Linked DNA regions of Canis lupus familiaris. The main gene of each other region encodes a partner of the protein of the gene in region 3 in a complex. Links are inferred from orthologs where the notes say so. Each region holds a gene or a part of one and is shown on either strand. Other genes may lie near its edges. The genes, in order: NBR1, STBD1 and GABARAPL1.

Region 1 (5,110 bases), on a different chromosome or scaffold from region 3:
AGCCCGACGTGGGATTCGATCCCGGGTCTCCAGGATCGCGCCCTGTGCCAAAGGCAGGCGCCAAACCGCTGCGCCACCCAGGGATCCCTTTATGGACATTTTTACATAGTATTTGCTATATGATACTTAAGATCCCATGTTTATATTTTGACACATTTCATTGTAGTGATTTCTTGAGCAATTTTTTTCCACAGATGTACCATACACTTTACTACCAGCTTCTTGGCTTATGGTCTAGAATAAGGGTTGGCAAACTAGCCAGTGGGCCAGCCATATGCTTTTGTAAATAAAGTTTCAGTGGAACCCAGCCATGCCGACTACATACTGTCTGTGGCTGCTTTTGTGCAGACTTGAGCAGAAACCATATGGCCTGCAAGCCTAAAATATTTACGTGACCCTTTAAGAAAATTTGCTGATCCCCATCTTAAAATAATACCTTTCAAACTTTTTGGCCATAGAATGCTATTTTTAAATGGAAGCTTAAAAGTCTGATGTGTAAAAATAGATAAAAGAACTGTTCTCCTTATCACTGGCTTACAAAGGGGGAGAGCTAAAACTGATAGACTTGACCCCTAATCTCTTTCTGGACACTGGAGAACCTTCATGGAACCTCAAATGTACTTCAAGTAGAGTTTTCAAAATAGGATTTTTAAGAAGATGCTCTTTCAAAAGAGGTAACCACTCAACCATGCTTCCCGAAATACTATTGGAAAAATAAATGCTTAGTTATAGGATATAACTTTAAGTTTCTTGGGTTCTGGTAGTCTAGGATTGATTTTTTTTTAAAGTTGGAATTCAAATCCATAAGTGGGGTCCTACATAAAAACCAGTTTAACAGAAAAGTATTAACCTAGTCAGTGAGAATATCTCACATAATAAAGTGCTATCCTAAATCTACTTTTGTGTTTTTGATAATAAAACCATTCCTAGTTAACATTTTGGGTAAAAAACAGTGGGCTATTACATGTTATATACCATGTGATTTAATAAAGGTAAATCCTGGTATTTTCAGCATAATTCACCATACCTGTTCTGTTTAAATGTCTTTGAGATTTCATTTGGGAAAGAAGAATCACACAATGTTTTTATTTCATACCATTTGCTTTCAGATGGCAGTTAAGCAGGGAAACCAACTGCAGATGCAAGTCCACGAAGGCTCCCGTGTTGATGAAGCCCCACCACCAGCTGTACCAGAAAAACGGCCAGTCTTGAGGGCAGGGAAGAAGCCACTTGCACATTATTCGTCACTAGTGAAGGTCTTAGGATCAGACATGAAGACCCCAGAGGAGCCTGCAGCACAGGTATGAAGGGAACAGGACCTGTCTCTACAATTTTTCTAGCCTTCTGTCTCATTGTCTCCGGTATAACATTTGAATTGTGCATTAAAGATTTGGGAATTATTGTTACCATCTCTGCCTGACTTTTTTTTTTTTCTTTTTTAAGATTTTATGTATTTATTCATGAGAGACCACATAGAGGCAGAGACACAGGCAGAGGGAGGAGGCTCCATGCAGGAAACCAGATGCAGGACTTGATCCCAGGATCCCGGGATCATTCCCTGAGCCAAAAACAGATGCTCAACCGCTGAGCCACCCAGGCATCCCTTTTTTATTTTTTTTAATTTATTTATTTATTAATGATAGAGTCAGAGACATAGGCAGAGGGAGAAGCAGAGCCTAGTGAGAGACTCCATCCCGGGACTCAGGGATCATGCCCTGAGCCAAAGGCAGATGCTAAACCACTGAGCCACCCAGGCATCCCTTAATTTTATTTATTTATTTGAGGGGGAGAATAGAGAGCACAAGCGGGGAGGGCCGGAGAGAGGGGCAGAGGGAGAAGCAGACTCCTTGCTGAACAGGGAGCCCAATATAGAGCTTGGTCTCAGAACCTCAAGATCATGTCCTGAGCCAAAGGCAGATGCCCCTCTGCCTATTTGAAACTGGTAACTGGGGATGCCTGGGTGACTCAGTCAGTTGGGTATCTGCCTTCGGCTCAGGACCCTGGGATTAAGCCCCAAGTTGGGCTCCTTGCTCAGTGTGGAGCCTGCTTCTCCCTCTGCCTGCCACTCCCCATTGCTTGTGTTCTCTCTCTCTCTGTATCTCTGACAAGTGAATGAAAAAAAATCTTTAAAAAAAGAAAAGATGGGATCCCTGGGTGGCGCAGTGGTTTGGCGCCTGCCTTTGGCCCAGGGCGCGATCCTGGAGACCCGGGATCGAATCCCACGTCGGGCTCCCTGCATGGAGCCTGCTTCTCCCTCTGCCTGTGTCTCTGCCTCTCTCTCTCTCTCTCACTATCATAAATAAATAAAAATTAAAAAAAAAAAAAAAAAAAAGAAAAGAAGGGCAGCCCCCATGGCGCCGTGGTTTAGCGCCGCCTGCAGCTTGGGGTGTGATACTGGAGACCTAGGATGGAGTCCCATGTCAGGCTCCCTGCATGGAGCCTGCTTCTCCCTCTGCCTGTGTCTCTGCCCCTCCCTCCCTCCCTCTCTCTCTCTCTCTCTCTCTCTGCCTCTCTATCTCTCTGTCTCTCTATGAATAAATAAATAAAATCTTTAAAAAAATAAAAATAAATTAAATAAAAAAGAAAAAAACTAACTGGTTACACTTCTGGAGAGAGGACAATAGGATGATAAACTTTATTTTCCTTGTATGCTTCTTCATACCTTTTAAAAATATTTTATTTATTTTCTTAATTTGAGTGAGAGAGCACAAGTGGAGGGGAGGGAGAGGGAGAAGTAGGCTCCCCACTGAGCAGAGAGCCCCACATGGGGCTTGATCCCAGGTCTCTGGGATCATGGACCTGAGCTGAAGGCAGACACTCACTGAGCCAACCAGGCATCCTTTATTAGGTTTTTTTTTGCCATATGTTTATATTATTTGACAAAAAAGAAACCTCAAAGTACTACATTTCAGGAAATATTTTTTTCAGGAAAATTATTTTAAATAGGGTGCCTGGCTGGCTCAGTTGGTAGAATATGCGACTCTTATCTCAGGGTTGTGAGGTCGAACCCCACATTGGGTATAGAGATTACTTAAAAAAAATTTAAAATCTTTTTTAAAAAATAGTTATTTCAAACAGAAGAAAAAAATATTTTCTCTAAGATCTTGGGTTGTGTTTCCTTGCAGCGGTTTCCACTTGCTCCCCGCGACACAGACCAGCCTCAGGACAAGCCCCCAGACTGGTTCACAAGCTACCTGGAGACAGTGAGTGTTCTCTCTGGAGTAGGCTTTAGCAGCTGTGTTGGCACAGGTGAAGTGTGGGAGAAATAGAAAGCTCAACCCACACGGCTGCTGCCTCTGGGGCAGATGAATGAAGAGTATAGCTAATCATTTCTAAACTAGAGCAAATCTAGTCCAGAAAGTTCCTAACTTCTACAGGGATGTATCAGAAAAAGAGGGAGCCTTATTCTAAGGATGTAAGGGAAAGGAACAAATCTCTGTGCTTAGGTAAGAAGGAAGGAAGAGGTTAGAAACCTACTCATCACAATGATTTTTTCTGGTATCCTCAGTGTACCCATGGAAAGAATAGACCTTCTTTTGTTACATTTCTTTTTTTTTTTTTTTTTTTTTTGTTACATTTCTGTCCATTTGTTCAGTAGTTAGTAGCTGTTTATGATGTTCTTACACCAGAGATGGTGAGGTGTCTGGTCTATTTGGTATCTTCAGACTTTTTTCCAATGTTGGAACTGAGGTTTTTTTCCCGTTAATCTGTTCTGTATTCTAGTTCCGAGAACAAGTAGTTAAAGAAACGGTTGAGAAACTTGAACAGAAATTACATGAGAAGCTTGTCCTCCAGAACCCGTCCTTGGGTTCCTGTCCATCAGAAGGCTCAATGCCCATTTCAGAGGAAACGCTGTTTTTGCCAGAAAACCAGTTCAACTGGCGTATTGCTTGCAACAGCTGCCAAAGGAGGATCATTGGTGTGCGCTACCAGTGCAGGTAAGCACTCACTTTGGAATGCATACATGTTAGAAGACCTCTGAACAGGCCTTCCTGGCATCTGGAGAGGTAGCAGAAAATTGGGCATACTCTGTCTCTGGATATCACACATAGATACCTGCTCTGGATTAGAAATAAGCTGTTTGTCACCCACAAAAAATACTATACAAAGGTTAACTATTCAGATTGTTGTTGTATTCACATATGCATTTGAACTAACAGAACTAGACAAATTATGTTCCCCAAGGCAAAATTACATCATCAGGGATTATCACCCTGTTATTCCAAATGCTTTCATATTTTGCTTCCTCCCATAGATTGTCCTTTGAAACAGATACATGTTAAATGCTGTTACTTTCATTTTATTAATAAGGAAACTTGAGATAGAGCATGGCCAGGTGACATGCTCAGGTTACCACACCCAGCTGATAATACAGCCAGTATGGAAGTCTGGTCTCCTGTGTCACCAGGACTTGTCATGCTTTTCCCCACAGCCTGTGCCCATCCTATAATATCTGTGAAGATTGTGAATCGGGGCCATATACCCATGACTCCAACCACATCCTGCTGAAGTTGCGGAGACCTGTGATGGGTTCTTCTGAAGCGTTCTCTCACCCAAGGTTCCCTGGCCCTCGTCTTCCTGCTGCTCTGGAACAAGCCAGGTAAAAACATAAGTACACAGGAGGCTTGTTCTCTGATGGGTGTCTCCATTGTGATGGGGCAGGGATCAAATTGCAGACAGTCTACTTAGTTCCTGTGCATTTCTAGTTATGTGTGATAATGGGGACAATGAGCTGAAGCTAATGAGACAGAAACGAGAACTGTAGAAAGAAGTTAAGCTAGAAGCTGGCACTGATGGAGGCTACCAGTGGCTCAAGATAGCTTCAATATTTGTGAGGTTTTGGGTTTTTTTTTTTTTTTTTTAAGACTTTTTATTTGTTACCTCACAGGCTCCAGAAACAGGTCGACAAGAATTTTCTTAAAGCAGAAAAGCAAAGGTTGCGAGCGGAGAAGAAACAACGAAAGGCAGAGGTCAAAGAACTCAAAAAACAGCTTAAGCTCCACAGGAAGATTCATCTGTGGAGTTCCATCCATGGACTCCAGAGCCCCAGGTCCCCTCTAGGCCGATCTGAGAGCCTGCTGCAGTCAAACACCCTGATGTAAGCCCAAGG
Region 2 (5,909 bases), on a different chromosome or scaffold from region 3:
ATAGCTGTTGGTCTGAGAGGAGAGGGCAGGAGAATGATTGCTATCAGTCCCTCTGTCAGTCCAGACCCGTGAGAGAACAGGAGCCAGGGGAGAGATGGTCCTACAAAGGCCCTAGAGGGACATGAATGCTGCAGTCCCTCCCGGCATTAGTAGGAGCATCACTCAGGCCACTCACTCAGCCCACACTGGAATCCCATTCCCATTCCCTCTCCTCTTGGCTCCTCCCAATGACCGACTCTAACTAGGCCCCTTGTTTCTGCACCAGTTTGCCATTATTAAGACAAAGACTTACTTGCTACCTTCAAACCATAACTAGCAGGTGAAATCAAGCAAAACAAAGTAAAACATCAGGAAGTCTTACAAGTTCATATCCTTGGTGATCACCTCTTGCGACCAGATATTTCTGATCACAGTTGCATATGGCATTATTTTTAAATAAAAAGTTGTGCATGGGGGCAGCCCTGGTGGCTCAGCAGTTTAGCGCCACCTTCAGCCCAGGGCCTGATCCTGGAGACCCGGGATCGAGTCCCACATCGGGCTCCCTGCATGGAGCCTGCTTCTCCCTCCGCCTGTGTCTCTGCCTCTCCCTCTCTCTCTCTCTCTCTCATGAATAAATAAAATCTTAAAAAAAAAAAAAAAAAGTTGTGCATGTAGTAAGAGAGTTTCTCCAGTTGTACCAATAGGAAAGCAGCTCTTTTTGAATGAGACTTGTTTCACTCCCCGGGTTTAAGGATTACCCACCCAAAGGCTCAAGCTTGAACCCTGGGCAGCCAGTTGGTTTTGCTACGCCCAGGCCAGTCCACACCAGAAGCTTAGCCAAGTCATTCCCCAAGAGGACCAAGCCCTGAAGTAACCATGGATCAGCGAAAATCCACCCATCAACACCACAGGAAAAAAAAAGTCCACGCTCACTGGAAGCATCATCTACATTATATTTCTGCACGTCAGATGCAAGCCACTGGCAAATTTGAAACAACTCTGATGGCTAAATTTGGAGTTCTACTTTATTTAAAATTATTCAGTGTGCCCCACAAACTTAGCCTTTTCCAGATTCTACAACAGCTTCTCCACTACTTTGAAAACAATCAGGGAATCCCCCACCACTTTTGTACCACTTTATCCTCACGACCAGTCTCCAGGAACCTATTGCTACATTCTTCCCAGCGGGTAATCTCCCCATTTTCTACGACTACAAACTTCCATTCCACCACTGTATCTGCAGGCAGGGACACAGAACGACACCAGAACCCATCCTTGCTATACTGGAGTGGGAGGTAGGTACTCCACCTTCCAAGACTCTTGTGATCTCCAGTGATCGCAATACACTGCTTACCAGTGCTTGTGATATAATGGATCTGGAACCTGATGCTAACTTGCTGGGACCCCGAAACCACCGCTACTACCTTTTTCCGTTTCACATCCACTTCCTGACCTCTTGGTTCCATAAGAGTGCTTCTGCCACAGTCCATTTCCTGGTTTGGGCTTACCACTGGAGCCTCAAGGCTGCCACCCAAAGCAGCATCTCCCCAGGATGAGTGCCTGGACACCATTTCCCAGTCCTCATTGTCAGCCCGGTCCTGATTGCTCAGCTGTGCAAGGCTCACTTCCTTCGCTCTGTCAATGACCAGGTTGCTAGAATACAACTTTTCTGCAAAACAGGAAGCTACATTAGCAAGTGTCTCTTGTCCTTTCTGGAATCCCCATTCTCTTATAGCAGATTCAAGGCTTTCATTTCTTGAAACTTCAGAGTAACCCCGAGAGTTACCAGTCTCAGATGCAGCTAGAGATTCTGTGGCTGGAAACCCTCCAGAAGGAACATGCTCTCTTGAACTGTTGCAACCACTGTCTTTTCCAGAAGGACTCTGCAGTCTCCGTGCTGCTTCCTGCAAGTTACCATGGCCTTTGGTCTCTGAAACCAAACATCCATTGCTTTCTTGAAGATGCTCTAAAACAAAAGGAAAAATGTAATAGTGTTAGGCAGTTCTTGCGAGAAAAAAGGCTGGGAAAATAGATTTAGTTGTTGAAGACTTTATCATTAATCTATCTGCAGTTCACAAAATCCATCTCGATTCAAAGCAAGTACTTAATTACCCAGTTCAGACACTAACTGCACCAACAGTGTACTTTAAGAATATGCATGTGTATCCAGTAATAAAAGGCATATCCGGGAGCATCAGTGTGCCCACCCAAGAGTGTAAATGAAGTGGCAAGTGTAGAAGCAGACTTGTGACCCTGTCGTGGTCCTCAATCCCCACAGTCCAGACCGTACTGGCATGCAGCCACATTGTTCTGCTTCTATCATCAAAAACTGTTGTTCCGGCAGAGATCCGCATGGCTACCCTACGGACCCTAAGAGTACACTTGCACTCCCAGGAACTGCATGCACGCTGGGGATCGGCTCTCACAGATGTGGGCAGACCCCCAGCAGCTGACACTGTGGGGGAATACAAGGAACAGTGGTGAGTCATTGTGCAAGAGTTGGGGGTGCTGGTGGGGGAAGAGGACTGGTTTCTCTTTGCCAACCCCATATGCGTTAGGAATATCTTCAACAAAAATAGGCTTTTTGCATCCCCACAGGGACTGTTCACTTTTTTAAAAAAAAATGTTCTCGCAGTTACACGATCCAAGCTCCCTAAAGGCTCGGTTTCCTTCTTGGACGCCTCACTCTCCGTCGGAATAGCTCCCTACAAGACCGAAATCTCCAAAGTCATACAATCAGCACGGATGGGGGGGGAGGCGGTCTGTGAGGGTTTGGCCTTGTTTAATTTTGTCTCTTTTTAATGGAGTCGTGAGACACGAACATTACCCTGAATTCCTCATCTTCCAACCTAAAACATGAGGCTGGCTTTCAGAAGAAGATACATGAGCTCCCTGCTCGTCCCACACCAGCTGTGGGGAAGGCACAGAGGCAGAGTCTCGGATGGCTCCACATGAACACTGACTCCACTAAAAATAAAGTTCCCAGATGTCGTTTTCACCAATGGGTCGGAGTCCAGGCGCGCCCTGGAGGCTGGGGCTTCTGCCAGCGGCCTTCCTCCCCTTACTCGCGGTCACGCAGTCGCCAACATGCACACACGTGAACCGGCTGTCAGTCCTGGTCGCTGGGGCTGGATGCCCTGTTAGGTGGGCCCGTTCCGGGGCTCTGCTCTGCGGCTCAGCCGAGGCCTCCGTGGCCGGGGTCCAGCCCGGGCCCTGCCTCCCGGGCGGCGGGAGGTGCCCACGGCCTGGGGTTCCCGGGCCCGGCCCTTCCGCGGGGCGCGGGGAGGGGCCGTGGGCCTTGGGGCTGGGGCGGGAGAGCTGAAGGGGGTCGCGGGACCCCTGAACCTGGGCGCAGCCGCCCGAGCGCCCCGAGCGCCCCGAGCGCCCCGAGCGCCCCAGCGCAGGTGCGCATCCCCCTGGCGGGGCCGGCGGGGACCCCGCGGTTTCCGCCCCGCCCCGCGGCCCCGGAGCCCCGAGCCGGCGGGCCCTGCGGCCGTGGGGGGCAGTACCTGGCGAGGCGGCCGGCTCCCGCCCGGGCGGTCCGCAGCTCAGTCCCCCGCCGCCGCGCCGGGCGCCCCCCGGGGCCGCGTCCTGCCGCTCCGAGTCGCCCTCGGCCGCCGCGTCCCGCAGCAGCCAGACGAAGATCGCGCCGGCCAGGCCGCCCCCGACCAGCAGGGCGGACCACACGGCGCCCATGGCGGAGGCCAGGCGGCCGCTGCGGGGACCACGGCGCCCGGACGCGCCTCGGCCGCGGGCACAGCCGCCCCCGCCCCGCCCCGCGCTGCGTCCCGACCTCGCCGGGCCCCGGGCGCCTCCTCCCGCGGACTCTCCAGGGGCGGGGCCGGGGCAGGGCGGGCACAGCCTCGGGAGCCCCGCCCGGGCGACGAGAGCATCCACCACCAGGGCCGCTCGTCGCAGCCACGTCCAGTCCTGGCTCCTCCCTCGACCGCTCTGGGGTGTGCTGGCTGCAAACTGCGTGCGCTCCGGTCCGCACTGCGCACGGCAGGGACGAGCTCCCACGGGTGGGCTTTTTTTTTTAATTTTTATTTATTTATGATAGTCACAGAGAGAGAGAGAGAGAGGCAGAGACACAGGCAAAGGGAGGAGCAGGCTCCATGCACCGGGAGCCCTACGTGGGATTCGATCCCGCGTCTCCAGGATCGCGCCCTGGGCCAAAGGCAGGCGCCAAACCGCTGCGCCACCCAGGGATCCCGAGAAAGCTCTTCTTAATTTTTTTTTAATTTTTATTTATTTATGATAGTCACAGAGAGAGAGAGAGAGAGAGAGGCAGAGACACAGGCAGAGGGAGAAGCAGGCTCCATGCACCGGGAGCCCGACGTGGGATTCGATCCCGGGTCTCCAGGATTGCGCCCTGGGCCAAAGGCAGGCGCCAAACCGCTGCGCCCCGCGGGGATCCCACGGATGGGTTTTCTCATAAAACTCGCGGCCCTCTTTGTTAAGCGCTGCGGTGAAGTGCGAGCGTAACCAGACCCTCGCAAACCCAACAACCGCGCGAGAAAAGAACTTCCAGCTCGTCCTCCCCTCGCCCGCGTGTGCAGCTGGAGCCCTTCGCCCGACGCGCACGCGCTTCTGCACCAACTGCTGCGGCCCGCGGGCAATGCCGCCCGGGGAGACCGAACGGAGGGGCTCCCTCTGGCAAAGCAGATCGTTCAAAGGGGCCCCAGGTTCGGGCACACGGCAGCCCTGGCCCAGGTCCTGCAGGGCCGGGCCGTGCCTCCCCCGGGTCGGCCACGACGCCCGCAGAGGCTAAGGGACGGGGCGAGGCAAGGGGGGAAGGAGCCCGGGCCGGCTTCCGGGACGCTGGCAGCCGCCCAAGCCCAACTCCCTGGAGTGTGACCTCCCACCTCCTCCCCAACCCCGCGGGGGCAGCCCCGGCAGCCCGACGACGACGTGGCAGCCACACCCTCCCCAGGAGCAGACCCCAGCAATGTCCAGTCGCCCTCGGCTACTGCTCTCCCCCTCACAGTAGGCAGGAAGGAGCCAGCTGCTGCTCTCTCTGCAAAATCCCACATTAAGAATCCTACTCCTCCGGGCGCCTGGGTGGCCCAGCGGTTGAGCATCTGCCTTGGCCCAGGGTGTGACCCCAGGGTCGTGGGATCGAGTCCCCCATCGGCCTCGGCCTCCCTGCATGGAGCCTGCTTCTCCCTCTGCCTGTGTCTCTGCCTCTCTCTCTCTCTCTCTGTGTGACTATCATAAATAAATAAAAATTAAAAAAAATATTAAAATAAATAAATAAATAAAAAATAAAAATAAATAATAAAATAAAATAACATTCTCATGGACTCTTACTAATTCATTCTTAAGTCATAAGACTATTATAGCTCTAATTGTTTAATGGTCAGAATTTTGTAGAAAATTTTAGAATTTATCTCCTTTTGTCAAAGTAAAACTTAATGTCATAGGATGTCCTTGAATTTTACAAACTCTAAAACAAGTAGAGTGATTTTACATATAGTATGAAAATTCTTGAACATTTTCTTTTTATTTCCTCACGGATAACTTTGTGAGCTGCTTCATTGGTCAAAGTTTCTTTATCAATTGTGCTCACAAATGAAACCTCAACGGATCTGTAAAATCAGAGAAAGCAAGCCCCACTATCCATTTCTAATAACTAGAAGGCTCTTAGTAAAAGTTTATTGTCATCAATCGCTATTTATTAAAAATATAACCAGTAAATGATGTAGTTCTTTCCACCCATCAGAATTCTTTCTATCTTGCATCATATTTCTCATGCAACATTTTAAAAGAACATTATTTGTCTTTCCTTTTGGCTTTTCTAAACTTAAATGTTGACTCATTGATTTCTGTGTTGCTGCTTTAAAAAAAAATAAAGGCAGTACTCCACTCACTGCCATATTTCTTAGAAGTCTTTGGCTACATATTCTAAAAACATGTTTTCCACAGTAACT
Region 3 (5,871 bases):
GCTTAAATGTGTTAATGTATAAAATCACCTTTTGCATGTTTTAAACATCATGCTGATAATATAGAGAGCAAACTTTGGAAGATGACAGATTGTGTATTCCAAGATGAAGTATTAGCATTTACAAAAGGTTTGAGGTAGAAATATTAATGAAATTTTATCTTCAAATTATTTTTCACATATAAATTGCCATTGTGCTTAGGTATTCTTAAAATAAAAGTTAAAATAAGCATTTTAACTAGCTATGATTTGATCAGAGAAACAAACCTTTTTTTTTTTTTTTAAGATTTTATTTATTTATTCATGAGAGACACAGAGAGGCAGAGACATAGGCAGAGGGAGAAGCAGGCTCCCTGTGAGGAGCTGATGTGGGACTCCATCTCAGGACCCCAGGATCCCAACCTGAGCCAAAGGCAGATGCTCAACCAAGGAGTCACCCAGGTGTCCCAAGAACCACACCCTTAAAATATTCATCTCCATCACAATTATCTTTCTCAGCTGGTTGTAAAGTACTTCCTTTCAGAGATTTTAGCTATAGTGGGTCAAAACTAAAATGAGCTAACATTTGGTTGAAAATAAGGATTAAAAATTATAAACATATAATGTGATAGACTCGTTCCTGGGTTTTTATACTAAAGAGGACTGAAAGACATCATGGAGGAGAAATAATTAACGTCAAGAGGTAAGGCTATTGATCTTCATTTTCCTTTTTTCAATAATGAAACTTAGTTTCTTTTATTTTGTGGGTTTGTTTTTTAAACCAGAGACATGGGGACTGCTGTTGTATATTTATTTCAGAGCTCCCTGGACTTGATCAAAGCAAAGCGGTCCTTCCTCTCTCTTCTATACCTTTTACAATTTTCTCTGCCTTCCTCCTGCTGATCTACAATCCCTGGAATCACTGCCATTGGCAGTGGTTGGAAAGGCCTTAATTCTTCCATTCTTAGTGGGGCCAGGGGACGGCCAGAGGCAAGCGACAACGGCAGGTGGCCCACCAGTCTTCCACCAGCCCTTCGGGTGGCACTTTATTTCACCTTAGGGACACTTAACAAGTAGTACTATCCTCTGGTGAATTTTTGCAGAATAAAAACAGAAATGGGGGATCCCTGGGTGGCGCAGCGGTTTGGCGCCTGCCTTTGGCCCAGGGCGCGATCCTGGAGCCCCGGGATCGAATCCCACGTCGGGCTCCCGGTGCATGGAGCCTGCTTCTCCCTCTGCCTGTGTCTCTGCCTCTCTCTCTCTCTCTCTCTCTGTGACTATCATAAATAAATAAAAATTAAAAAAAAAAACAACAGAAATGTTTAAGAGGTACTTTGTGAACCACCTGAATTGCTTGGTTATTTTCTTTTCCAGAAGACAGGCCCACCCTCTGAGTTCGTAGGAGAAAGTGAATCATTTCTATATCGGAGCGTGAGCGACGCCCTCGGCAGCGATGACTGACATCACTTCTCAGGACCTTGACGACAAGCTTGCCCTTCAGCTTCTACATCTCAAATTCCTGAGTCATGCTCTGTTGTTGCTGCCGCTCTAGGAGCGAATTGCGGCAAGGACCCAAACAAAATGACGTGCGCGCGCGTGGTGAAGGAGGGTCACGGTCGGAGCGCGCCAGCCCAGCGCCCAGGAGCGGGGGTGCAGACGAGGAGCAAAGGGCACAGTGCAGGCACCGGGCACTTCCGTACCGGGCCAAAGGCACCCGACGACCCCCATTCTTTCTTCTCCTAGATTCCAGATCCCAATAAGCTGGAAAGAGCTCGATTTTCGCCCCCTGTGTTTGTTTTTGGATCCAACCAAGAAACAGCGAGCAAGAGGGAATAAGATATCTTTAGAACGTATTTTTTTTTTTTTTTTTTGCATCCAAACCACTTTTAATGTCACAGCCACACAACGAAATTCGAAGTAAAAAAGTTATATGTTCGCAATACTCCCGACGCAGGAGAGTTCGGACAGAGGGAGAGGGGAGCGCGCCGAACCGGACCGACTTTCGCCCTCCCCCCCCGCCCCCCGCTGCCGTCCGAAGGCTGGGGGCGGGGCGGGGAGGCGGGACGTCATGACGTCATAATACCAACGCGCCGCCGTGTTGTTTTTGTGCTCGAGGCTCCGGGGAAAATCCGCCGGGATTTCTCCACCTGAGCGACTCCGTCTTGCGTCCGAGGGGACCCGACGTCCCTTCTGCAAGCTCTGCCAAGGCGCGTGGCGACGGGAGCTGACGTTTCTCAGGCGGTTCTGACACCTACATCGAAATTCGGCAGGGGGAGGCGAGGCGGGAGAGACGCAGCCACCCGCGAGGAAGGCAGGCCCCGGCCGGGGAATCTTAGAAACCCTGCGGTCCATCATGAAGTTCCAGTACAAGGAGGACCATCCCTTTGAATATCGGAAAAAGGAAGGAGAAAAAATCCGGAAGAAATATCCGGACAGGGTCCCTGTGAGTGTAATGGGGGGCAGGGAAGAGGAGGGGGGAAGGGGCTGAGCGCGCTTGGGGGAACCCGGGAGTCGTGGTGGCTGCCCTGAGGCACAGAAGAGGGGTGGTCTCTAGGGTTGCTGAGCCCCTGGAGAGCCGTGGAGCGCACGTCCTGATTGCGGACCCTGCACGGCCCGTCTCCCCGGGGCCGCTCTCCCCGTCATCTTTAGAGCGGAGCCTCCGTTTGAGTGACTCAGCAGTATTCAGAGGATGTGCAGGGTGAGAAGTGACCAGAACGTGGCCCTTTAGTGAGAGCAGGATCGAGATGGGACCATACATTCGCGTCCTTCAGAATCCCAGGGAAATTGTTCTGGAAATAACTTGGTGCAGTGAGGTTTGCGGCCATGGATTTCTGCCTTCGATGCGTCTCCCTGAAGTTGACTTTGGCTCTCAGAACATTGGGTTTGGGAGGGATAGATTCAGAAATCAGTGGATCCTTTCTTTTATTCCATAAGAATGAGAAAAGTGTCTTTGTTGGGGGGGGGGGGAGGGGAGGGCACGAGACAGGCCTGGCCCAGAAAACAAGGTCACGTTCTCTGCGCCACAGCCCGATTGCCTCATCATTCTTGGCTCCAGGGGCTTGTGAGGGTGCAGCCAGCCTCCCTCCTGTACTTATTCTATCAGATTGTACCTGGACACAACCATGAAGGACTGGGGCCTTTTGCTTCCGTCTTGGAAGCTGGTTTCTGTGGTTAAAATTAGTGCCGGCAGTGGGGAGAACAGAGAAACATTAAGGTAGCTTTCTGCATCCGGGCGCTTTTTTCGTCGCCCCATCCCCCGCCGCTTGCCTGTTTTTTTTTTTTTTTTTTTTTTTGTAATGTAGGCTGCGCAGCCAGATTGGAAGGCAGAAGACTTTTGAGTGTGGTGGTAGAGGGAACAACCACCGTTGGGTTTTGGAGATGGAGGAGCAGAGGCTGTCAGATTGTACTATCTTCAGGCAGGGACATTGGGATAAAGATGACGTATTATGTACAGGCAAAGTAATTGTGATTATGTGTTGTCAGTTCTTGACCTGCAGGTACTCTTTGGGACTCTTCTCCAATCCTTACCTAATTTTCATCGTGTTACAGCTACTGGAAGCAACTTGGGCCTTAATGCCTGCAGTAAAACTCCCCTGCAGTCCTTTATAAGGAAGCGAGACTTTAGGTCTGTTCCATTCCCCACGAATTGTACACAAGGGTTTTCAGCTAAAAAGGAGATCTAGCTCTATTACCCACCCAGTAAATGATCCTTCACAAATTACTTGTTTGGTATCTGGACTTTGGGTGACAGCTTCAAAAGTTTGCCCCAATTGTGGTGGTAGCAAGCCTCCTTTCGTCTAATAGTTAAAAATGACAACTAACTTTCATTGGTTGATTGTTTGCTCTATACTGACAGTATTGCATGTCCTCTGACCTTACTCAATCTTCACACCGTTATAATCCCATTCTACAGATGAAGGATCTGAAGCACAGAGAAATGACGGATTCCTAAAGGTTTCCTGTGGCTGGTGTGTGGCAGAGCCTGAGATTCCAACTCTGGTTGTTGGACCTTCCATGCCATATCGTTTCTCAATTTCTAATACAATTCTCTTAATTAAGAATTAAGGAAAATTAATCTCAGAATTAATTAAGGAGGCACTGTGTGACTCACACTGTTAGGTATTGGAAATTAAGAAAAAACATTGCAGCCCTAGAAAGGTCAGAGAAGTATGATGCCAGAAAGGTAACCCACTGAGCAAAATGACTACCATTTATTCAGAACAGTATGAGGCTCTGTTCCAGTAGCTCTGCCTAAGCCACAAACTCTGAAAGGTACCTGTTCCTAAATCTAGTTAAAATTCCCATGTATTTCTTCAAAACCGAGCCCTTGCCATTTCAGTCTCTTACATGCATTCACCCAGAGTATTTCAGCTAATCTTCCCTATTCTTTTCCTGCTCATTGTTTGGTGTTAAAAATGTTTGGCCTGTGTGATTACTTGTCAGCTCTTAGAATCATCACTCAGGTCTCATGGTTCCTTCAGTTGGGTTTTAACCAGTTTATAAGCGTTCCAGCTGCTCCTTAGGTGCTCAGCCTGTGACCTTCTTTGTGGTCGTGATGCAGGAAGAAGAGCTCTGCTCTCTGAGTTGTGAGATTTAGTTTTGGGCCAGATCCTTAATCTTGCTGTACTAAAGTGTACAGAAAAGAGGGTTAGTGTAAGTGATTTCTAAAACCCCTTCCAGCTGGGCCATTGGTATTTACCAAAGCAATCAGGTTCCCTGACTGCTCACATAACTCAGTTTTAGTTAGGCCCCTCCTTATCTCTTAGCTACCATCCAAAAGAATGGATGTGCTCCTGCCTTGAGAGGAAAGGTTTTCTTTGGATCTTAAAGTATCTGCATAGCTACAGTGTATTGAAAACCTTCAACACTGCAGGAAACTGTTAGGGACATATTGTCTATTCTTTAAAATTTGTAAAAGCCCTTGTGGAATATTGGCCGTATTGCACAGAAGAAAAAAACACGTCGAGAACCAAAGAGGAAAAGCATCTAGTCCAGGGCCTATGAGTAGAGTTGGGGTTGTTGGAAACCTAAGATATTTTCTGGTAAGCCAAGGCCTTAATGATTACCCATCCCCCTCCTGTTCATCTCCAAATCCCAACCTCCTGTCTGGATATCTTATTTGCAGTATATTTTATTGCCTCTTTTTCTGCTCTCTTTTTGTGGTTTCTGTCACTTCTTACTGATGGGAGCGGGAGGTCTCAGGGTTCCTTTGGGAAACAGTGTTAGGCTCCCTCTCTTTCCCTTTGCTTTTTTATTAACCTGATGCCTCCTGTCCATCCTCATTGTTGGGCCTTCACTGGTCTATCCCTGAACTTCTTCCTACTTTTTCTTTTAAATTTCTGATTCACGTATTTTTTTTTCTGGTTTTCACTTCTAAATTTTTAGAGGGATCATGTCCCTTCAGTCTTCCTGGTTCAGGATTCTTTTTCTCCAGAAACACAAAATAATGTTTTTTACTCCTTTTATGTGTTCCCTTTCATTTAAAAGCTTCAAGCCTCCAAGTCTCTCCTCTTAAATCGTTCCTTTTATTAAGATAATTCTTCATAATTTACAAAACATTTTCACATAAAATTTTATGGATTACTCAAAGTTACTGTAGGAGTACCATGACTGTAGAAGATATATTGGAAAGTTTCATCTTCCTATTACTCACCGGAATGCTGTAGTTCAAAGAAGTTAAATGACCTGTTGAAGATCACAAAGTTCCCTGGGATACTTGTCTAGTGTTACTTCTACTTCTGTAACTCTTCTAGATTTTCTGTGTGTTTGATCAAGAATGATTGTATTTTTTTTTTTTTTTAAGATTTTATTTATTCCTGAGAGGGGCAGAGACATAGGCAGAGGGAGAAACAGGCTTCCCACAGGGAGCCTGATGCAGGCCTTGATCCCAGGACC

The links.
Region 1: the proteins of GABARAPL1 (region 3) and NBR1 are in contact, whole or in part, in an NMR structure (PDB 2L8J), measured with the Homo sapiens proteins. The link is inferred for Canis lupus familiaris from reciprocal best matches to the Homo sapiens genes GABARAPL1 and NBR1. Residues at the interface, in NP_113600.1 of Homo sapiens: Glu12, Tyr13, Lys16, Glu17, Lys20, Ile21, Lys24, Tyr25, Arg28, Pro30, Lys48, Tyr49, Leu50, Val51, Pro52, Phe104; in NP_005890.2 of Homo sapiens: Ser729, Glu730, Asp731, Tyr732, Ile733, Ile734, Ile735, Leu736.
Region 2: the proteins of GABARAPL1 (region 3) and STBD1 are in contact, whole or in part, in a crystal structure (PDB 8X8A), measured with the Homo sapiens proteins. The link is inferred for Canis lupus familiaris from reciprocal best matches to the Homo sapiens genes GABARAPL1 and STBD1. Residues at the interface, in NP_113600.1 of Homo sapiens: Glu17, Ile21, Tyr25, Asp27, Arg28, Pro30, Val31, Ile32, Lys46, Lys48, Tyr49, Leu50, Val51, Pro52, Asp54, Leu55, Gly58, Gln59, Phe62, Leu63, Arg67, Phe104; in NP_003934.1 of Homo sapiens: Glu201, Glu202, Trp203, Glu204, Met205, Val206, Pro207, Arg208, His209, Ser210, Gly213.

What each region holds. Positions count from the first base shown.
Region 1 is NC_049230.1:19,814,263-19,819,372, reverse strand, and holds part of NBR1 (next to BRCA1 gene 1 protein), read left to right. Parts: intron 1-1,109; coding exon 1,110-1,301; intron 1,302-3,125; coding exon 3,126-3,203; intron 3,204-3,723; coding exon 3,724-3,938; intron 3,939-4,432; coding exon 4,433-4,600; intron 4,601-4,888; coding exon 4,889-5,098; intron 5,099-5,110. UniProt on the Homo sapiens protein: Ubiquitin-binding autophagy adapter that participates in different processes including host defense or intracellular homeostasis.
Region 2 is NC_049253.1:39,244,975-39,250,883, forward strand, and holds STBD1 (starch-binding domain-containing protein 1), read right to left. Parts: upstream 3,705-5,909; 5' UTR 3,676-3,704; coding exon 3,489-3,675; intron 1,946-3,488; coding exon 1,086-1,945; 3' UTR 909-1,085; downstream 1-908. UniProt on the Homo sapiens protein: Acts as a cargo receptor for glycogen. Delivers its cargo to an autophagic pathway called glycophagy, resulting in the transport of glycogen to lysosomes.
Region 3 is NC_049248.1:10,351,486-10,357,356, forward strand, and holds the start of GABARAPL1 (gamma-aminobutyric acid receptor-associated protein-like 1), read left to right. Parts: upstream 1-2,047; 5' UTR 2,048-2,329; coding exon 2,330-2,419; intron 2,420-5,871. UniProt on the Homo sapiens protein: Ubiquitin-like modifier that increases cell-surface expression of kappa-type opioid receptor through facilitating anterograde intracellular trafficking of the receptor. Involved in formation of autophagosomal vacuoles.